Linked DNA regions of Diceros bicornis minor. The main gene of each other region encodes a partner of the protein of the gene in region 3 in a complex. Links are inferred from orthologs where the notes say so. Each region holds a gene or a part of one and is shown on either strand. Other genes may lie near its edges.

Region 1 (7,747 bases), on a different chromosome or scaffold from region 3:
TTACATCACTTCTTGTTGCAAAAAATGTTTTTAGTCACTTTACTACCACTGCCAAAATGCCAAGAAGAAGAAAAAAAAAGCATCACTAGACATAGTACATAAAAGGTAAATGAATATACCAGTTTTGAGGTTATTAAAAAGAATAAATGAAAATAACATATTTAACAAATGCCTGTATCTATAATTATATAATTACAATAACATATATTTATAATAATATATGTAAAGTAATTCCAATTATTGTTGGCCTTAAAGATCCACAAACTTTCTTAAATTTCTATGAAACTATACCTTACTCTAACTTTGTAACCTTGAACTTAAAAAACAGAACAAAAGAGATAAAATGTTTCATGGGGTTTTCCCCTAGATATAAATAGGTGAATACTATCACTAGTACCTCATCATTAACAATTTAGAGAGAATTAAAGAGAACATGCAGCAATTTAGATACATTCTTAGCCTCAAGGAATAGGTGTGAGTATATGATAAACACAGAAATACTAAGTTAAACTACTGACTATAATAATGCACATTTTTTTACAGTACATTTTAATTACACAGAATAGCATAACAAGTACTGTATGTACTGATTTTTATAAGGATTAGTTGAATATCCAATTATTATTATTCCCTGGGTTTTAAACAAGAGACTTTCTGGGGAAAATTTGGTTTTAAATAGGGAGATTTCAACTACTTTTTCTTCTCTAAGGACATTACAATAAGAATATTAAAGAGAAAGAATTGCTTACAGACATATTTCATATTGGAAGGAAGAGCTTGAAGACAAAATGAGTGGAAATAGCATGTATGGGGGACTGTTTACCTGATCTACATTTAATTCACCAGCAGAGAACATATAAATCATTAAAACCCAACTTTTCCAAAATACAAAAATTTAGGCAGAAAAAATGTAGATGATTTCTTGAGAGTTAATGCTAGTTATAGGTAGATGTTTGATGTACAGCATATCATTTTTTTAAATGATATTCATATAGCTTTCAAATCCTGAATAGCAACAAAAAGCATACCTCCAAATTATTTGTTAAAGAGCTGACATGATCATTTCTACTGTTATCTTAGTTTAAAAATATGAAACAAATACTCTAAGTAAAAAAAGTAAATTCAGGAATTTCTGAATTATATATTTAATAGATAATGATAATGCCCCAAATATGAAATACACCTTCTAATAAGGTATTTAAAAAAGAACTTCCAGGAAATGCAATCAGATCCTCACCAGGAATTATCTACCTTAAAAACACACCTACAAAAGTCCCTGAAAGCTCCTGTCCTACTAATTAAAATACAAACCCTACTTTCTAAATTACCACAATATTATACTTCAAATAATTAAAAACCTAATGGTAGTCGCATCCTCTCAAAGCAAGATTAAACATGTCTTAGGCATGCAGCATACACACCACTGTAAATTTGGAAGATTCTTATAAGTCACAAAGACTAGGATTCTTAATTGTTACTCATTTATTGACGGCCTTAAAGATTCACGAACTTCCTTAATTCTCTTTCTTGATCTGCAGAAGGACATCTCTATTTTTTGAGCATACTTTACAACTATGTGCCTGCAGTTTTGAAAAAAGTGTTCAGAGTGGATTCCTCAAATCAGTATAACAAATTTTATTACAAGATATAACTGCTACTGTCTGTGTCCTTCAGGACACTTAACCCTGTAGGGCTATTTAACAAGCTTCTCGCCTTCATAGTTTTGGTACAACAGACCAAGGATAAATAGCTATTTAAAGATTACACCTAGAAACGCTATTACTGACAATGCCGGCGGTTATGAATTTCTTCAAATGGGACAAAAAAGTGTGCTTATTTCAAATATATACATTAAGTTTATGCACTGCTACCGTCTCCATTATTTAAAATTCCTAAGAAACTGTTAACTTTCACATTTTAATTGAGGAATTAGTCAGTAGGCCTAGGGTCCATCAGGAGTACTCCCTTTTACTCCATCACATTCACAGTAGTTTTGATCTTGGCCTCACCAGTTTTAAGACTCCTTAAGCAAAGACAATTTCATACTACCTAAGGGCACAAAAACAGTTCCCATCTCCTCCGCCCTCTCCCTCCTTCTAGCGTCGGTTCCACGAGCGAATATAGATCTCTGTCCCTCTCTCTGCTCTGGTCCCTACAACTAGCTCTGCAGTCCACCCAGGAAGGTAAAAGAATGGGGGAAAATACTAGAATCAATCTGCACCCACACCTCAGCCCCGCCCACGGGGATAAAGCGGGGGTGGCGGGAGTGTGAGGGGGCAGAAAGGACAGAAAAGGCCGAGAGTTCTCCATACCATTTGTTCCATCACGTTTCACCGCAGCCAGAGACCCTGACCCTATTTCCAGCCGCGCCTCCGGATCCTCCTCCCCGCCACCATCACACACACACACAGTCCCCAACGTCTGAGTCCTGGGTGCGGAGACCAGAGCCGGCCCTCTTCCTGCTCAATCCAAGGACTGCAGAGAGGGTCTCCCTGCGCCCTCGGCGCATCGACGTGTGCCCTAGGGACCTCTGAACTGACCGGAGAAGGGGAAGATCAATCGGGAGGAGGGGTCTAAGAGGAGCCGTTATTCCCCTTTCCTCTTCGTTAGGAAAGCGCGCGAGCGGGGAGGGGCCGGAACAACGAACGCGTTACCTAACGGTCCGGCCCGGCCAGTCGGGCTCCTGAAGGCGACGCCGCGCCGGCCGCTGAAGTGCCAGCTCAGCCACAGTCGCCTCGAGGGTTAGGCACCGAAGCAGGCGCGCCCGAGGTGATAGGAAGCGGGGGGTGGGGACTATGGTGAGCGACGTCGCCATGTTAGTGCCTTCTTTCTCTGTATCCCTACGGTCTCCAGTCCTGCGGCGCACTCCCCATGACTACTCACCTCTCTAGGTCACTAGTTCATGCTTCTTTCGGTCACCGGCGAGGCCCGAGCTCAGCCGTGTTTACAAACTACCCGTGGAGGAAAGGCTGAACCGCACTTTAAAGGCCACGGGCTCCCACAGGCTTCCGTCCTCTCTCGCGAGATCGGACTGACACCTCCTTCTCCCCGCCCCACTCCCGGCATCCCCCCTTTCTTCTCGAGTCCCTGCCCTCCACGCACACGCCGCTTCTTGTCTTACTTCAGACGAAGCGCCTCCGGGTCAAGCGAGTCCGTCAGGTTTAAAGGAGGGGGCGGGATTTCAAGGGGGCGGGGCTGAGGGGGCGGGAACCAAAGAACACTCGGTGCTGGTGATTGGACAACAGCTCGAAGGGCGGGAAGCAGTTCTGGAGGGGGCGGGACCAGAGCGCCTTGGTCCTCCGTAACCAAGGACCTGCGGAAGCCTGTGATTGGCAGCCGCTTGAGGCGGGCGCTGGAGCAGGTGGATGTTGAGGTCGCCGGAAGGGCCTGACGGTGTGCGGGAAGGGAAAGTGAACTCTAGGAATGCTGCTAGTGGCGGGAGAGAAAACGGGACGAGTCCTCCGAGTCCCTCCCCGGGAGCTCGGTATTTCCATTGCTGTCACGTCCCGGCCCTTGTAGGAAGCCGGGTAAAGCGTAGGGAGGCGCGCGCCTAAACCCGTCTTCTGGCTACCCTGCAGCCCGAGAAGGGGAGCTTCGGTTAAGCTGAGGTTTGGAAGAGGCGGAGTTTACCGGAAATTATCCCCCAACCCCCGCTACACGCCCAAAGCGGGAAAGCAAGATAAGTCAGTTCTGAAAAGAAAAGAAAAAGCCATTACTCTGAATGGCATTTGTTCGAATTTTTCTAAACTGTAACGGGACTGATTCTTCCGGCTTCTAAACGCCTAGTACCGTGTATGATATTAGCATATAGTTATGTTCTAAGTAACTTACCAAAAGGAAATACAGTGACTTCCACTAGATTACTGTAATTTAAAATAGCGCAAGGCTTGTTTTTAAGAGAAAAATCTTCCATATTATGGTGAATCCTATTTTATCAATTTTCGTTTACTTAGTAGTTATACATTTAAAAATATCAATTTTAGTAGAGATAGTTTCAAACCTTTAAAACATCCACAACTCTGTATTAACATTTTAGAGAGGACCAAAGGACACCAAATTAGACTATGGCATAGAAATGGCACTCTTTCCACAATATAATGCCAATGAAATGTCTGTGAAGCTTTGAAAGTAGCTCTTTGAAAAAAGAAGGAGGGGGGAGTTTATTTGGTTAATTTAACCTGAGGGACAAAAAAGACCATATTTACTACTCTGCAGTTGACATAGAGACACTCCTAAAAACACAGAAAGAAGTACATTGCTGAAAATGTTTCTTCTTAATGTTGCTCTACGATTCTCTATACAACTTAAAGATTTCAGTGTTAAGTGTAGGGATATTGCTTTTTCAATAAATACACACTGGCACAAGTTGAAAAGTATGATCAGGAGCCTCTGTGGAAATTTGCATTAACTATTAAAAAAAAGGCAAGTTGGGCCAGCCCCAGTGGCATAGTAGTTAAGTTCAGCATGCTCCACTTCGGTGGCCCAGGTTCGGTTCCCGGGTGTGGACATTTACGGCTCTGTTAGTGGCCATGCTATGCTGGCGGCCCACATACTAAAAAATAGAGGAATATTGGCACAAATTTTAGCTGAGGCTGAATCTTCCTCAGCCAAAAAAAAAGCAAACTTTTTTCAATGCCTTGTTTTTCCGTTTATTAAGTGCTGATTTCTAGTCTATAACAAGATTATGAATAAATTTTGTATATTAACATAAAATGAACTCTCAAACATTATCTCCAAACCATGGTGAAACTGAAATTATTGGAAGATTGTGGGGGATAGTATTTGAGAGTTAATGAACCTGCAGTTCAATAATGGTATCTGGCATAAAAATGAAATTGTAATAGCACTGGACGTTTTAACAGGTTTCTGGCCTGTATACATGTATGTGAGCCAACTCACACCTCTTTTAAAACTAATTTCGTTACTCAAGAGACCTGAAAGAAGCCAAATATTAGCTCTGTTTACTTCTCAAATTAGAATGAAAGTACTATCCCTATATATTAGTAAAGCTGTAGTAGTGCTTAGTGTAGTGTAGCACTAATTATTTAGCACTAATTATTAAAACCTCAGCAGCTCAGATTACTGATGATGAACATGATGATGGACAAAATGTGCGATTGACAGATCACAAAATTGTTAGGTCTAGAATGCATTCCCTAAAATGGTGCTTCTCTCCATCCCCCAAAATGTCTACTGTGAGATGAAGAACTATAAATGTTATGGCATTTAAAATTAGAGTAGATTTTTAAAACTAATTATTTTCCATTCTCTTATGTCAAAAATTTGAAAGTCTTTTCTCCAGTTTTGGTTCATTTTCAGTTGGCAGTTGGTCTGGTTTTTAATTTCTCCTCCTCGTCCCTTCTTCTCCAGTCTGTTGTCAAGTATGCTGTTAATTATCTACATAATGCTCTAGAGGAATATGTTATTTTAAAGAAAGTCTTGGGCCGGCCCCTTGGCTTAGCGGTTAAGTGCGCACGCTCCACTGTTGGCAGCCCGGGTTCGGATCCCGGGCGTGCACCGACGCACCGCTTCTCCAGCCATGCTGAGGCCGTGTCCCACATACAGCAACTAGAAGGATGTGCAACTATGACATACAACTATCTACTGGGGCTTTGGGGGAAAAAAAATAACTAAATAAAATTATAAAAAAAAAATAAAGAAAGTCTTTCAGGAATCCTTTTAGATGAGAGAAGAATCATTTAGTAATACAAATAGTACTCTGTTGTGAGAATGCAATTTTGGCTAATTTTCTAAAGAGATGGTATACCTAAAATAAGAAAATATAAAGGAGATTAGGGGAAAAAACAGGTGGAGAGGAAGCAAATCTGTTATATATGCATGTCGGCAGCCTGTCAGTTAGCAGAGGTCCTGACTTTATCTACATATTTCTAGTTCCACAACAGTTCCTTTACTGTAGCTTTTCTCAAATGAAGAAAACATTCAGTGTAAACAAAATGAATATAGTTACTATTTTCAGTTCTGATCCTGTGAACTTGTAAGTCTCACTATTTATCCACATCTCATAAAAGGCTTTGCTTTTCAGTTTTTTCCCCTTGCTTCCAAATTCCTCAATATCCCCAACAGCCCTAAGATTCTCTAGAATCTTCTCTTTCAAAATGCAGGAAACTTCTTCCAGACCGCTTCTTTGCCTGTCTTATTGTTCCAAACATGCATCTACCCAACATTTGTTGTTAGTGCCATTGAGTTGATTCCGACTCCTAGTGACCCCATGTACAGCAGAGCAGAACCCTGCCCAGTCTTTTTGCGCCATCCTCTCACCTTCTGGCACTTTATCAGACAATGCTCTGCTGCTATTCATAGGGTTTTTGTGGCCAATTTTTTCAGATGTGGGTGGCCACATTCTGCTTCCTAGTCTGTCTTAATCTGGAAGCTTCACTGAAACCTATCCACCATGGTATTTGAAATCCCGGTGGCATAGCTTTCAGCATCACGACAACATGCAGCCACCCCAGTATGACAACTGACAGACAGGTGTTGTGGTTCCCTGACTCGTAAATGAACCCGGAGCCTTGGCAGTGAGAGGGCCGAATCTTAACCACTAGACCACGACGGCTGGCTCTACTCAACTTACTCCTAGGAAAATTAGTGAGGATCTGGTGAACCTCCTTTAAGAACCCAGCATGACTTCTGAATAAAACTGGTATTCCTTAGATATAAGAGGCTATTTGAAGAAAACTCATTTCTATTGAAAAAGTATCCATTACCAAATACTACAAGAAACTATAGTGGCCTCTAAATGCTCTCAAACCTTCCAAATGCCACAGAATGTGGCATTTCCACTTTATTTAGAAGTACTATGTGATTGTTAATCCATCAATCTGTTATTGCTCATAAAAAGTCTACTTAGCAGCGTCTGTGGAAAACACTATGGAGATATCTCAAAAAATTAAAAATAGAAATACCTTATGATCCAGCTATCCCACTTCCGGGTATTTATCCAAAGAACTTGAAATCAATAATCCAAAGAGGCTTATGCACCCCTATGTTCATTGCAGCATTATTCACTATAGCCAAAATGTGGAAGCAACCCAAGTGTCTGTCAACAGATGATTGGATAAAGAAGATGTGGTATATATTTACAATGGAATAGTACTCAGCCATAAAAAAAGACAAAATTTTCCCATTTGTAACAACATGGATGGACCTGGAGGGTATTATGTTAAGTGAAATAAGCCAAACAGAGAAAGACAAACACTGTATGACCTCTCTCATATATGGAATATAAACTAACACATGGACAGAGAGAATAGTTTGGTGGTTACCAGGGGGAAGGGAGTTGGGGGGTGGGCACAAGGGGTGAAGGGGCGCATTTATATGGTGACTGACATAATAATGTACAACTGGAATCTCACAATGTTATAAACTATTATGGCATCAATTAAAAAAAGTGCTTAAACGCTGTGCAAATGTATATATAGAAAAATGGAGTGAAAAGGGAAGATTTAATATATAAGACATAGCTTCTGTTTGTCTGTAGCTAAACAAAACAGCATACTCCAGGGCATCCCTTATGTCTGCTCTGGACTCGGGGAAAGAGCCTGTGCATTTTCGCAGGCATCCTCAAGATGCAGCCCAGAACAGTGGATTAGCTGGGATTTCGCCAGTGGGATCAGGAGGGGTGTGGTGTACAGGAGTGAAGGAAGCAGGGCATGGTTATCCACCCACCTGATATCTGAGAGATGGGATAAGGACAGCATGGCCCTAGATATTTTAGTTGATATTTTGG
Region 2 (7,825 bases), on a different chromosome or scaffold from region 3:
AGTAGATAGTTGTGTGTCATAGCTGCACATCCTTCTAGTTGCTGTATGTGGGACGCCGCCTCAGCATGGCCAGAGAAGCGGTGCGACGGTGCGCGCTCGGATCCGAACCCAGGCTGCCAGCAGCGGAGCGCGCGCACTTAACCGCTAAGCCACGGGGCCAGCCCAGTCTTAGGTATCTTCTAATTCTCACATTACATAGGTAAAATTTTTCTTCCATGAAGTTCCTTCGTAGACAAACTTTTGGAATGCTCCCTCCTACTCCGTCACAAATACTGCTCTCCTCCAACATAGTGTCACCTCTTTGAGGCAGAACTTGCTTCTTTCCAGAACTGTGATTCATTTTTATGGTGCCATGAGCCCTAGGACAGTAGCAGCAACTACGATCCAAAAAGCACAGCCAAGACTTAAATATAAAATGTCTTCTTCGTTTTGTGTGTGTGTGAGAAAATCTTTTGAAAATCGGTTAAAAGCTAGGGATCCACTCACAGAAAAACACATAGGCAAATATTCACAAAATTTTAGGGGGCTGCTACGCCCTCCGAAGCCCATCCATGTACTCCCTAGGAATCCATGAATCCTTGGCTAAGAACACTGGATTTGGGACAGTAAAGGGATCCCTGGAGATTAAATGATCAAAAATATTTCCTTCCTCTTGGAAAAGGGAGCTGCTAAATTAAATATTTATAGAAAGTTATTAACACTCTCTTTTCAAAACTAAATTATTATGCTTACTTACAAATATCCTCCTCATAAATCAGATCATGTACTAACCTGCTTACTCTTTTAGAATAGGATGCAAACTCCTTACCACGCATTATAAGGTCCTACATAGTCTGGCTCCTGTGGCCCGCATGTTATACTTTTGAGCTGCATTAGCCTCCCTTGTGCTCTGGGAACACACTAACTCTCTACAAGTCACTCTGTTTCTGCTGAAGAGTCTCAGAGTGACCTGTTTCCTCTGCCCAGACCCTTTTCTGGTTGCCATCCTTCAGGCCTCAGTTCACATGTCCCCACCTCATGAAGGCCTTCCTTCCCCCCTACCCTCAATCATTTGCCCTCACATCACCCAGTTTTCCCCCTGTATAGTTAATCCTGTCACAGTCCTGGCCGTTGATTTTGTTTGCTTATTGTCTTCAATCCCCACTAGAATGTTAGTTCCACGAAGGAAGCAGCCTTGCGTCTCTTATTTATAACCACATTCTCAAAGCCAGGCACAGGTATATACTGGTAGTAGGCACTCAATAATTATATACTGGTAGTAGGCACTCAATAATTGTTGAATGAATGATTAAACTTCAGCCAGGGATGGATTAAAACCTTAAGAAGCTCTAAGCACTAAAGATTATGGCATTCCTCCTTCATATTTAATTCTAAGTAAAAATTTTGGTGCTCCTCCCCCAAATTTAACTTAACTAAAAACAATACTAAACCATACACTCAAATGTACTGAAACGAAAAGAGCTTCTTTCTAGATTATCCGATTGAAAGACACTGGAGCCCCTGGTTTGCTGGTGCCCTAAGTATGTGAGCTCTTTGCCTCTGGGGAATCTAGCCCTCACTCACCCTTTTATTTTTTTATTTTTTAAATAATTTTATTTATTTATTTTCCCCCCAAAGCCCCAGTAGATAGTTGTATGTCATAGTTGCACATCCTTCTAGTTGCTGTATGTGGAACGCGGCCTCAGCATGGCCGGAGAAGCGGTACGTCGGTGCGCGCCAGGGATCCGAACCCCGGCCGCCAGCATCAGAGTGCGCTCACTTAACCACTAAGCCACGGGGCTGGCCCTCACTCACCCTTTTAAACATGCTGGAAGTAGTTTTGGTTAAGCTTGTCTATGCCCTCAAAAAACCTTGCTAGGATTTTGATAGAAATTGTGTCAAATCTATAGATCAATTTGGGAAGAAGTGACATATTTACTATACTGGTTCTTCCAATCCATGAATATAGTAAGTCACTCCAATTATCTGTCTTCTTTAATTTCTTTCATCAGCATTTTATAATTTTCAGCATACAGATCCTGAGCATGGTTTATTAGATTTACACCTAAATATTTCATTTTCTTTGGAGCAACTGTAAATGGTATTTATTGCATTTTTAATCTGTTTCCACATGTTTGTTGTTAGCATATAGAGAAAGTCTTTTAGTAGAACAAGGAGAAATGTACTCTTTAGTGAAGTAAACTTGTTCAATGTTAACTTGCTGGACTAGTAACAAGCTATTTATCCTAATATTCAAGTACTCCATAATGTGCCTCTAAATCTCTTAAATTTAGCCTAATTCTTAATTGATATACTCTAATCTCTACTACTATTAGAAGGGTCTACTGGTCCCTCACCTGAATACACCTATTCATTCCATCTCCATACCCTTGCTCGTGCCATTCCCCCTCTAGAATAGTCCTTCCACTGAGCCCTTTGACCCCAAACTAAATCTTAACTATCCTTCAAGGAGGAGGTCAAAGCTCTTGAGAAGATGCCTTCCCTGACAACCCCAGCCTACAATGCTCCTTGTCTCTGCTGGGCTCTTTTATTTATTTATTTATTTCCCCCAAAGCCCCAGTAGATAGCTGTATGTCATAGCTGCACATCCTTCTAGCTGCTGTATGTGGGACACCACCTCAGCATGGCCAGAGAAGCAGTGCGTTGGTGCTCGCCAGGGATCGCAACCCGGGCAGCCAGCAGCAGAGCACACGCACTTAACCGCTAAGCCACGGGGCCGGCCCATCCGCTGGACTCTTTTAACCAGTACTGTATGCCATCAATCATTAATTTAGTTTTTAATTAGTTTTAATCTATGTCTTGTTTCCCTAATTAGATGATATACACTGGGGAGGCTCCCATAATAGCTATCATAGCCCCACATACATGTAAGGCACAATTTAATTGTTGTATAAATGAAGAGAAGGGAGAGAGATGTCAAGATGTGTCAAAGTAAGGCTACTAAGCTGCAGCATGTAAAGGGTGCGCCATAATTCTCTGAGTCTTTCATCCAGGCAAGATCCATGCTCTCAACCTCTAGGATAAGGGTTCTCGCTCTTTTCCTTCCTTCCCGCCAAATGCAACTCTTCCAACTAAGCAGATTTGAGATGCAGATCCTTTCCAACTGCCTCTTAGAAACTGTTCTAAAAACAGCAGGTCCACGGTTAGCAGAATTTTAGAGGTTTACTCGAAGAGCACAGGAAATCTCACTGAAGCTGCAGTAACAACCCTGGCCACCAGAGGACAGGGGGCAGCCGGAGAGATTGCTTCTCCTCAGCAGTCTTAAAGAGGTTAAAGGCAGGCGCAGAACATCGGCTCTGCATCTATGGCCTTCAGACTGCTTTTACAGTCTGAAGTGCTCAGCAGTCTCCGGTCTCCAGATGGGCTCTTTCTCCTTCTCCAAAAGATGGGCCGGAAGTTCCCAGAGGCTTACCCCAATACTAATCTTAAATGATGGTCAATAATAACGAATGCCCTTCCGTTGCGGGATTTAAAGGCGGAAAAGAAGCATGGAGCTGTTTTTATCTTTCTAACCTACCCTAAACCTGCTTCTCAGTTCTTTTGCCAATTAAAAAAGTTCCTCAGGCAGTGTCCAAATGGACATTCGGCAACAAAGATGCCGTTAGGGACCAACGTCCCAAATCCAGTACATTGCAAATGGAATATTTTAGGAGCTAGGTTATTCCTACACATAAATTCTGGCTCACGGAGCAGTCCGCTCACAGTGTGCTTTTCCGTCATTAATCACATCTTTGTTATGTGATATCCACGTGAGTACTTCTCAGTAGAAGCAGCTTCATGCTCAAATGCTCAAAGAACACTAGAATAAAGCTCTGATTGTCCTATTCAGCGATTCCAAGTCCTGGTTTGTCACCACCTCAGGTCTCTAGGTTTCCAGAGTGTGTAATGTAGTCTCAAAACAAAGCTGTTTTAATGAATCCAAATAAGAAACGCACGAAGCGTGTGGAGTTAAATCAACTGGGTCTTGCACCTCTCAAGAGGCAGTGAACCTCTGGTCTGATTTCAAGATGCTTCTGGGCTGCCCGACGGAGAAAACATTTTTAAAGAGAATTTTAGGCTGCCCATACTCATTAAATCTGTAAATATATGCAAAGTAAAATAATAGAAGTTAGGAATATTCAAGTGGGGGCTTTCGACAACAAACACATATAGATGGCTGAATACCTGACAGCACTCGTGTGAGTTTTCTTAAAGTACCTGTAACTCCTCTTTCCTAGGAGATGGCAGTGCCCTGCATTTTGGATTCGTCAGACTATTGCAAGAGCGACTGTAACTCTCTCAAATAATTGTTTGCGTTTCTTCACGCTGGGGAGGCAGCTGGCAACAGCCCAAGGAGGAGGCAAAGGCTCTGCGTCTCGGTGGGGGGCACCCTGAAATACCTGTTGGGGCGCAGCGCTGGAGGCGCGCGGCCGGGGCGAGGACCCGGGCCCGGGTCGGCGGGCGCGCGGGCGCGGAAGGAGGAGGCCGTGGGGCCGCCTCCCCGGGCAGCCCCGGCTCCTCCCAGCGGCGCCTGCGGAACCTGCCTCGGAGTCGCCGAACTCTGGAACGGAACGTGACCCGAGCCCGCCCCGAGCTGCCCAAACGAGGCGCGGAGGCGCGCTCGGGGCTCGGGCGGCCGCGCGGCCCCGCCCGGCGCCCACCGCCCTGCCCTCGCCTGTCTCCTCCTTTCCCCGGGGCTCCGCTGAGTTCATTCACTGGGATTGGTTTCAAGTGACGCCATCTCTTTATTTTTAAACCAATGACCTCATCCGCGCTTGAAGTTTCCTGACCAGCGACTCTTTCTCTTTCCCCCCAACCCCCCACCCCACCCCCCCGCCTTTCCCCCTCTTTCTGCGTATCGCTGTTTGGGGGGCTTTCACCAGTTTTTAAACGATTATTATCACCTCTCCCTCCCCCCTCCGCTTTCCCCACGCGGCCCCCCACCTTCACCTCCCCAAGTTCTTCACCCCTTTCAACATTGTTTTTTCAAGGCTGATGGGGGGGTAGTGGAAGAGAAAGAGTAAAGAAAAGTTGCAAACGTCTCTTCTCTGCCTAAGCCTCCCGCCCCCACCCACCTCGCAGAGAAGGAGAAGATAATATAGTGAAAAGAAGAGGAGGAGGAGGAGAGCGCGACGGGACGGACGCGGGCGCGAGCGCGAGCGCAGCCTCCCTCCCGGCTCCGCGGCGGCGCCTCGCCACTCCGGGAGGCGCGGGGGCCCGAGGGGAGACGCCGTGACAACTTTCGTTTCCCCCAGACGGCGTCGGGAGGTCGGCGGCCCCCAAAGTAAGTGGCCTCGGGCCGGCCGCGCGGACCGTGCGGGCGGGAGGGTGCGGGGCTCGCGGCGGCAGCATGGACGCTCCGCGGCGCGCCCGACTCCGGGTGCCCGGCGCCGCGCGCTCGCCCCGCCGGCTCTGCCTTCCCCGGCGGCGGCTCACCTCCGCGGAAGGCGGGGTGGGGGCGACCGCGGCCTGGAGCCGCGCGAGCGTTTGAGGCGGGGGTGTAGGCCCTGCTGGGGGCCGGCCCGAGCGGGAAGGGGGCGGGCAGCCGGGCGCGGGGTCTCGGTCCGTGCGCCCCCGGCCGCGCGGCGGACAGCGGGCCCAGCGGCCGGTTCCCGCCGCGAGGAGCCGCCGCCGCGGACGCGGTCCCTTCGCGGGCGAAGCTGCTCACTTCCAGGCGCGACTGTTACACAACACTCCTGCCAAGTGGGGCCCCGGCCTGACTGTTCCCATTATCCCCAATTCGCCTTTGGTGTAAGCAGCGAGGCCACCTGGGTGGTGACGGTGCTGCTTTCTTAAACCAAACCAGCCAACCAACCAAAAACTCGGTTTGCATGCTGGGGCCAGGCATGGTGTTGGGGGGCCCGGTGCGCCAGTGACTTCTTTATTTACACTAGCCGTACAACGTGAGAAATAAAAAAGCCCGGGGAGACAGCCGAGCGTCTGTTTATCATGTGTAGTTTTATGTAATAAAACACCAGGGAGGAAAGTATTTATGAAAGGCTGAGTTTATTTCCTAAAAAAAAAAAAAAAAACCTGGTAATTAATTTGAGAAAATACAAGTAGATCTTAAAATGAATGGATAGTGCAAAATCCTGAAAAAGTTTATTAGACGTCAGCTGCAAAGATCCTCAAGTCCTGGGTGTCTCAAATTGTTGGGAGTAAGCACACCTCCAACCAGCCTGGGATGAATAAAGGGGAGAGGAAAAACCTGTTGCATAATCTCATTTGCCGTGGGGTTTGCTGTGCCGTCCCCTTGAACCAGGGGGAAGTGAGTTAAGATGCAGGGTTTTTAAAACTCTCTGAAGTTTTTATTTACCCAGTGCTCTGGCTGCTACTTCTGTGTTAAAAGATTATAAGTAAATACTCTCCTCTTACAAGTGAACCAAACCTATCAAACCTGTTTAGAAAATGACCAGGTATGTTTCTTGTCTTTCTTTCCGGGGTGTGTGTGTGTGAAATTTACCATCCATGAAAGACCTTATGACTGCTATTTGGGGAACTTAAGACTGTCAGAAAAATGCGTCTTTCTGCTACGCATTTTATGGGGCTGATTGAGAGTGCACATAGGTGACAACTGTTTCCTCGAGGATTTATACTATTTCCAACTCCGTGAAGAAAAGAGATTTTTTAAAGTTAAGGTAAATTTTTAAAATAAGAAAAAGAATTCTCACCAGTTGTTACTTTTTAAATTGTTTACTTTTTCTTGAGAATCATGGATGTTGGCGATACACAGCTTGAGAGGCGGTAATTAATTGAGACTTGTAGAGTTTTGTATTTGGTGAAGGCAGCAACCTGAAGAAGTAAATTGAAAAACTAAGAATTATGGCTTTGTGTAGGTATTTTAGTCAAAATGTGACTGGGCACTGTGCAAGTTTTTTGTGTTTTCAAAATAAAGTGGAATTTACTGAGTTTGAGGACTGTGTGGAAGGTTGCTGTTAAGATTTTTTTTATTTGGTTAACATCTTATGTAAAAATTTAGACTAAATAACACCACCCAGCCTACAAGTTGGTTTTTAGGTAAAATCATTTATACTTATCAAAGTTCCATGTGGGGGAAAAATTAAAAGTGAGTTTATCCTTAATTCTGTTGGTAATATGATGAATAGTGTATGGAAAAAAGTCGGTTCAAGCACTATAAACCTACATTCAGATGTAAAATAATGGAGTACCTATACAGTAAAAATAGTCATGTAAAATTGAAGATAAGGGGTCTCTCTGCCCAGAAGCTTTAATGGCAGTAACTGAAAAGGGGGCAAAAGAGAAGATCCTGTTAACCTAGTTCTTTTCCTTTTTCTTATACATTTAAAACCTATTTGTGGAAGTGAGGCTGACGTCAGGTTAGGGTTGGCTGTGATGGGTGCAGAGTTTAGGCTGGGGTCAGGAGAAGAGCCAGGATTTATGTGTGAGTTTGTTTTGATGCTATTTGCTATAAATGCCTGTACTGGGAATTTAATTCCATAGAGTTTTTGGCCTATGGGATTATATATTGATGAAACTGACTTAGATGGCTGTCCAATATTAATGTTTTCCTATTTTTCAACCAATCGTAATATCCTACTAAATATAATTTGCTAGAATTACTAGTGTAATTTATCCTACAAACCAACTTTTCCTGGAGTCCTAAAAAAAGTGGAGTTTTCTATCCTGTGTTATTTGGACTAAAAATTTCCCTGGACTTTTAATGTTTTTAAAATGCTTTGCGTTCGCAAGCAAATGATACTTTAAATTGAAGAAGTAAATGAATATAGGATAAGCTGATTTGGATCAGAATCCCGAGAAAAGGGAGGAAATAAATCAGGAGAAACAGAAACCAGATTTTATGACAGAGTTCAACAGATTGAAAAAA
Region 3 (7,318 bases):
AAAAAAAAAAAAGAAATACTTGGAGGGCTCATTAAAACACAGATTGTTGGGCCCTTCCCTCAGGGCTGCCAATTCAGCATGTCTGAAGTGAGTCTGAGAATTTGCATTGCCAATCAATTCCCAAATGATGCTGATGTTGTTGTTCTGGGGACCACAATTTGAGAACCACCGTCTTAGAAGAATAAATGCTGACCATTTTTTTCATGAGAACATGCGTGTGTACTCAATCTATAGGCTTGAATAGCTGGGTTGTCTCTCTTCATGCACCTAGAAGCGATGTGTGCATAGGAGAGCGAAGGAAAGGAGGAAGCCCAAGCAAAGAGGGGGGTACTACTTGTAAATTCAAATTAGTGTACCACCCACCTCTCTCTCTACTTTGTTTTGTTCAAGTTGTGACTGAGGAACTCTGGTCATTTTTGGTCATGTTCTACCCCTGAGGAAATGTCATAGTTCTTGCAGTTGGAGACATCAGTTTGCAATATGAACACTCATCTTTCCTCTACTCATGCAACCAGAGCCTGAGCCACTCCCTCTGGAGCCCACAGGCTCTACCCTGAAAGAGCCTCAAAGAGCATCCTAGAGTCAGGGAGTGACTGACTGAGTTTCTGAACCTCTTCTTCCTATGGTGGGAGGGGTGACTTGACCAGGGGCCTGGTTGGGAAACCAAACTGGGTGGCTTGAAAGCGAGGCTAAAGAAGAAGGGCTCTGGCGGAGATGGGGTCAGGAGAGAGGGTGTGTCTTCGGAGATGCCCTTCTGCAGGCCTTACAGTAAGCCCCCTCTCCCTGACTCCCCACACCTGGAGTGTGAGGTCAGGGAATTAGGAAGTGAGATCAAGTCTCAACTTTCGGTTTCTGTACCCTTGAACAGCTTGGTGAGGTCCAACTGACACCTTAGCCAAAGGCCCAACCCCAAAGCAAACCAGTGTGTGTATGTGGTCTGGGGAGGATGACAAGGAAAGAGGTACTCTGGACAGGGTGCAAGCTCTTCCTCACCATTTCTCAGGGTTCCAGCAGAGACTGGATTTAAGGGGCCTGCAGCCTCCCTTTCTCTCTTTCCCCCATCCCAGCCTCAGAGAGACCCAAGGACCAGCTGTCCCCAAGACAACTCCCCTGGGACAAGAGGCAATAAACCTGAATTCCTTAGCTCTTCCTCCTTTTCTGAGTCAGCCCCCAATAGGTTCACAGGGAACCACGATAGGGTAACAAGCAAAACGCTGTGAGAAGGAAGAAGGAGGCCCTGAGCCACATCTGGGTTACAAAAAACATTTTGAATTTGTAGAATATCAGAGATGATTACATTCAATCACAAATAGTGAAATGCTGTCTGAAATCACACACACGCATATGTACATATTTAAACACACGGGATGTCCCTTCCAGGTATAGATCATTGGAAGCTGACAGCGGTAAACTGAAGCTAATAAATCAGAAGTTCTTCCTGTTGAATGAAAGAGAGGCTGTTGATAGTATTACAGACCTGGGCAGGAAACTCTGGAGCTCTGTTCTGGCAACACCTCTTATTTTACAACAGCTCTGAGCATATCGTCTTTTGTTACCTCCAGGTCTTTAATTTGCCTGGTGGGGACTGGGAGGTACCTGCCAATACTTCCACCTGTGTGCCCAATCACACCCCCACCCCGCTCTCCCAGGAAACTTACACTCATGTTTATTCCTTCTATTCTACCTCTCCCTCTCAACAGTCTTCCTACCAGATGTAAAATAGGCTTGTCTCTTTCTTCGCTGCCTGACTCCTAGTTATCCACCACCTCCATTTTCTCATCTCTTGTTTATTCCTCAGCCCACTCTAATTCACTTCTGGCTTTAACTACTCCAGGATTTCAAGCTTCCTCTTATATTTGATATTATTGATCACTCCTTTCTTCTTGAATCCCTGTTTCCTTCTACCTCCCTGGCAGGTCATTGGCAGGCTCATCCTCTTCATGGCCATTTAATGCTGAAGTTCCTCAAGCTTGGTTCCTGGCTGTCTTCTGTTCTTGCCCACTACCCTCTTTCCCTCAGGCCTAGGCTAACTCATCCATACCCAAGACTTCAAGTCATCATTATCTGTCGATGATTCATCTCTTATCTACCTGAGCCCAGCTCTGTATCTCTAAATGCCAACTTGGCATCTCTTTTGGGCAGATCAAAAGCCTTCAAACTACCTGCTCTCACCATCTTTCCACTCAAGCTTTGTCCTCCTCCAAGATTCCCATCTCTGAACCAGCACCAACATCTATCCTTGGCCGCAAGCCAGAAACCTGTGAGCTTTCCTTGATATCTCTCTTTCCTTCACTGCCCACATAGCCCATCATCAACTTCTGTGCTTTGGATCTCCTAAATGGTCTTCAGATCTTTCCTCTTACTGTTTTCATGACTATTACCATAGACCAAACCTCTACCATCTGTTATCTAGACTACTACATCCACCTGGCCTCCTGCCAATATGGAATCTTCAAGATGCCATTCTGACCATGCCACCCCCTTTGCTGAAGCATGTCAGGGTCTTCCCATTGCACTTAGGATAAAGACAAGATTTTCAACATGGGTAGTATGGCTGCACTAGGTTTGGTCCCTTTCCAGTCTTCCCAACTTCATCTCATAGCTCCTTCTTCCTTGATCTTCCAGCAGCACTGGCTTTTCCTCAATTTCTCCAACTCACCCTGCTCCCTCTCACCACAAGACCCTTGCCCACTAAGTTACTTCTGTCTGAAATATTTTCTGCCTAGTTAAATCTATTCTCAGTTCAAGAGGCAGTTCCTCAAGAAAGCCTTTCCTGGCTTTATTAATTCTATCAATTGGTTTCATAATACTGTGTAGCCATATCAATTTGTATTATAATGAGGTGATCACTTTGCATTTGTTTACTGTTACTATTTCCAAATTAAAGTGATTAAGTCTGTAAGCTTCATCATATTATTATCAGTGCTAGCACAGTGCCTGGCACAGAATGCATGCAATAAATACTTATTGGAGAAATAAAGGAAGGAAGGAAGGAAATAAAGAAGCCTGAGAGGGAGGGAGGGAATGAGGAGAGAATGAATGAATGAATGCTCACATTTGCGTTCCATTTCAGAATGACTGGAAATAGGCCAACCCAACATGACATGGGAAGATAGTCTACCTGAATTCACTCATTTATTCAATAAATATTTATTGATTCATTATTAAAGTAATGTACATTTTTCTGATTATGAACATAACTGTTCCATTTGGAACCCATGGAAAAATACCCAAAGGATAAAAGAGAACCAATTTACGTTTCATTCCACAGTCTAATGATGAACTATGGTTAAAATAATTTGGCATATTTCTTTCCAGGTTTTTTCTATGTATATATAGTATATAAGTAGGATCATTCTCTCTATATATAGACTTGCTTCTTTTTCTTAATGATGTATTATGAACATTTTCTCTTGTTGTTAAGAATTCCTCCAACACATGGCATTTAAATAGCTAAAATGTATTCTATTGCCAAGATGTATGTAGTTTAGACACCCTTCCACTCATTGCTGGATATTTAAGGGCTTGCCAATGTGTCACTTCTATAACAACATCTACACGCTTTGTGGGGTCCAGAAATAGCGTAATGCATGGAATCTGGTAGGAGGTGGATTTTGGGAAAACAAGAGGCAGCTTTTTCCAGCTGGTTGAAGGGAACATTTATTTGCTTGTGGGTTGCACCAGAGGTGGATTTTGGGAAAACAAGAGGCAGCTTTTTCCAGCTGGTTGAAGGGAACATTTATTTGCTTGTGGGTTGCTGGGCCCTGCGCAGGTGTCTTCGGAATGCACCACACTGTTGGTCAAGGTAATGAGCTCTTCGTCCCTCAGGTGTGCGCCCGGGGCCGGGAAGTCTGCTCCTCCGAGCAAGTTTGGTCTAAGCGCACCTCACCTGCAAACCCCGGGGCGAGGAGCCCCTGAGGTATTGGCTCCTACTAGCGGACCGCCCCGGGCCAGCCGCCGGGCACTCTGGCCACGCGCCGCCACGTGCCGGGAGCAGGGCGCCGCCCCCTCCGGCTCCCCGCCACGCCCCTCACACGCCGCCCTCAGAGGCTCTCTCCGCAGCTCCGCCTCCGGGCGACCTCCGCCAGTCCTCCCGGCCCCCAGAGTAGCCCCGCCCCGCAATCCGGGCCCCGGGGCCGCCCCGCCCGGCGGGCCGCTCGCGAGGCGTGGGGGCGGCGCCCTGCGCGATGACGTGGGCGGGCGTGCGCGGTGACGGCCCGCGTCCCTGTTACTCAGCGGAGCGGCCGAGGCCGGACGACGCGGCCCGGATCGCGGAGCGGCCAGCGGCGCTGGGTAACGGCCGCGGCGACCGCCCGGACGGCGCCGGTGCCCGCCGGCGGGCTCTCCTGTCGCCGTTCGCTGCGCTGCCTGGTGAGTGCGGCGGCCGTCGTAGGGCCTTGGCGGCCCGCGGCCCCGCCGTGTTTATGTTATTGTGCCGCGGCTGCCGCCTTCTCCCCAGCGGTGCCCCCCTCCCGTGGTGGGGGCGGGAGCGCGCGGGGCGGGGGGCGCGCGGGGCGGGGGCGGCGCGCGAACAATAGCGGCCCGGGAGGCGGCAGCCGGCGGGGGGCGTGGGGCTGCGGGACCCTGGCCCGCCGCGCAGCTCCGCCCGCCGGTCCTCGCGCGCCCTGCTTGTGCGGGTCCCGCGCCCGCGTCGGGAGGCGAGAAGGGAGCGGGGGTGGGTGGCAAGTTCGGAAGTACTTCGGCGGAGGCGCCGGGGCGTCCCGCCGCGCCCTAGTGCCTCCCGCGGCGGTGGCCCGGTCCCGGCGCCCACGGGGACCGTGTTTTGTTTCCCGGTGGTTTCTTTGTGCTGACGTTCTGAGCGAACGTAGCAGCGGCGCGGAACAAGGTTGGGGTGGCCTTCAGCTCTGGGCTGCGAGGGAGAGCGGGGCCTGGGGCTGGGGCGAAGGGTGGCCGTCAAGCTCGGCGCGAGCTTCAGTGGTCAGCGGGCGTTTCTCTGGACGGTCGCTCGGTGGTGACCTTTTGACTTTTTCACCCCACCCTCCGACCTCTTTGTCTTGCATTTGTGTTCCCAATCCTTAGGTGGTAGAACCAAGTCCGTTTTAAAGTATTGCGATGAACACTTTTAATTTTAATTTCTGCAAGTTCTCTATCAGATGTTTACTGTGAACTTGGTAACATGTTGACTGCGTGGTATCAGACGATGTTCGGTGGTTACTGTTTTTACCTCTGAAATTCAGTAATCGTTACAGTAGAATTCTGGTGTGTCAGTCCATTGTGTTTTGAGATGAGCATCCAGCAAATACCTCCTCGGCAATTAGAACATCATTTCATTCATTCATTCAGCAACTGTTCAGTACGTACTGTACTCAGATGGAGAGTTTGAAGATAAAAAGAAATATCCTTTAGTGGAAGAGGATGCTTTGACTGAAATATAATAGATGTGCCTTTAAATGAGACGGTTATGTAAGTGATGTGTGTTAAAAAAGGTATAGTTATACTCTGGGTCATTTTAGTATTTTTTAGTAGTACATCTGGAACTTATAGTGTAATGTTATATTAGGAAGTAGAGTTAGATTTGGTCTAAATGTACAACAGCTTTTATTTATTTGCGAATTTAATTTTTCAGTCTTACAGCCTTACAGTGATTTGTAACGTTTACCTCAGATTCCCCTGCTGTGGGTTAAGCCTAGGAGGTCAGATGCTGTAAGTGAACATGTTTAGTGCTGTGCCTGACAAAAGCAAGCCATCAAAATGGGACTTCCTTGAGGACAGGCCTGTCTTGCGTCTGTGTCTCCTCCAGCACCTAGCCTGGATATGTAGTAAGTGTTCAATAAAAGTCAGGTTAATGTAAAGCTCTTTACAACTGATAGTATTTCAAATCAAGCCTTAAAAAAAAGTTTAACGTTCTCTGTAAAGTTTTGGAAGCCTTGTGCAAACTGTTACTTCCAGATGGCTAAATGATCAGTTCATATGTATTATCTGTCACGACAGTAGGGGCTTTTGAATCATTTCAGTATCAATTTTTTTTTTTTCTATTCTATACTTTTAAATCCTAAAATAAAACCTTGTCTAAAAAATTTTTTTAATATGTGTGTATCTGTGTGCGATGTATATATAGCATTCATATACATATATATCTTGCACACAGACACACAGTGATATTTCAGTAGGGGTCTAAAATGATTGCATTTATCCTTTTGTGAATATTAATTGAAAAGTTTCTGATGACTCCTGTATTTTAAGTGGAAAAGCTAGAACAAAGGAAACAAGTTGCATAAAAGTTTTATTAGAAATGTTTAATTTCTAATAACATTTTAGAAATGTTTGTTGGTAATGTTTAATTTTAAATTCTTCATTGTACTAATACTATTGATGAAGCATACCATTGATGAAGCATATGGGCCTAAAACTCAAAATAATTGATTTATTTAATAAATAATAATAAATAATAACTTGATTTATCCAAGTTACATCTCTTTTCTACTCACTACTTAATGAATTTTGACATGTGTTTTGGAGAATTTCAGGTGAGCTCTTTGTTATCTGATGTAGAGTACAAATAAATAAGAAAATGATATTTTATTGAAATAAGGGATGAAAATCTTGAGATACCAAACTGTTATTGCTTTACCTGGTTAATTAAGGTATGTCAGGTTCCAGTAGGAGTTACTGATACAAGTCCTTTGGCAGTAGCTCACTGTCAGGCTACATGTCAAGCCAGAGTTTTTGTTTTGTTTTCTAAATTCTGTTGGTTTTTGAAAATAACAGCTTTATCGAGATGTAATTGATATACCATAAAATTTACTCTTTTAGTTGTGCATCAGTGGTTTTTAATATGTTCACAAAGGTATGCATTGATCACCATTTTCCAGAACGTTTTCATCACCCCAAGGAGAAGCCCTATACCCATTAGCGGTCACTCCCCATTCCACTCTAAATTATATTTAAAGGAAGAGATAGCACTGAGTCTCTTAGTAAGTACTATAGTATTCCGTTAATGAATTTGAAAAGGACTCCCTTTAAGTGTCCTGGCAGAGTAGGAAACTATGTCCTTCATACCACCTTACATCCTGGGAGAAAGGCCACTTGGAAAGGAAATTAGTTTAAGAATAAATTTTACCAAAATTAATGAGGTTGGAATCTTAACTATTTTCTCAATGTTTAATATTATGGAATTGACCTTGTGAAGATACTCAAGGCTCAGTGAAACTTCTTGAAGTAATTTGTTGTTAAGTATCTGGTCACCAGCTTTCCTAGTGGTTATTAAGAGGTTGTTGAATAGAAGCCTGACTCTTGTTGGTCTGCTTTGCCAGTGAGTTGAGTTTGACAAATTTGAGTCATCTAGATAGTTGAGATT

What was found.
Region 1: the proteins of MAPK8 (region 3) and ATF2 are in contact, whole or in part, in a crystal structure (PDB 6ZR5), measured with the Homo sapiens proteins. The link is inferred for Diceros bicornis minor from reciprocal best matches to the Homo sapiens genes MAPK8 and ATF2. Residues at the interface, in NP_001310257.1 of Homo sapiens: Asp112, Ala113, Gln117, Val118, Met121, Glu126, Arg127, Tyr130, Leu131, Tyr133, Val159, Lys160, Ser161, Asp162, Cys163, Val323, Trp324, Asp326, Ser328, Glu329; in NP_001243019.1 of Homo sapiens: Phe36, Val44, Lys48, Met51, Thr52, Leu53, Lys54, Phe55, Gly56, Pro57.
Region 2: the proteins of MAPK8 (region 3) and DUSP16 are in contact, whole or in part, in a crystal structure (PDB 4YR8), measured with the Homo sapiens proteins. The link is inferred for Diceros bicornis minor from reciprocal best matches to the Homo sapiens genes MAPK8 and DUSP16. Residues at the interface, in NP_001310257.1 of Homo sapiens: Arg189, Val196, Ile197, Leu198, Gly199, Asp229, Ile231, Trp234, Gln253, Thr255, Val256, Thr258, Tyr259, Val260, Asn262, Arg263; in NP_085143.1 of Homo sapiens: Phe215, Leu267, Asp268, Tyr271, Lys275, Pro279, Ile281, Ser282, Pro283, Asn284, Phe285, Asn286, Leu288, Gly289, Gln290, Leu292, Asp293.

What each region holds. Positions count from the first base shown.
Region 1 is NC_080749.1:55,976,252-55,983,998, forward strand, and holds the start of ATF2 (cyclic AMP-dependent transcription factor ATF-2), read right to left. Parts: upstream 3,018-7,747; 5' UTR 2,884-3,017; intron 1-2,883. UniProt on the Homo sapiens protein: Transcriptional activator which regulates the transcription of various genes, including those involved in anti-apoptosis, cell growth, and DNA damage response.
Region 2 is NC_080756.1:48,331,337-48,339,161, forward strand, and holds the start of DUSP16 (dual specificity protein phosphatase 16), read left to right. Parts: upstream 1-4,808; 5' UTR 4,809-5,263; intron 5,264-7,825. UniProt on the Homo sapiens protein: Dual specificity protein phosphatase involved in the inactivation of MAP kinases. Dephosphorylates MAPK10 bound to ARRB2.
Region 3 is NC_080745.1:12,136,714-12,144,031, forward strand, and holds the start of MAPK8 (mitogen-activated protein kinase 8), read left to right. Parts: upstream 1-4,289; 5' UTR 4,290-4,371; intron 4,372-7,318. UniProt on the Homo sapiens protein: Serine/threonine-protein kinase involved in various processes such as cell proliferation, differentiation, migration, transformation and programmed cell death.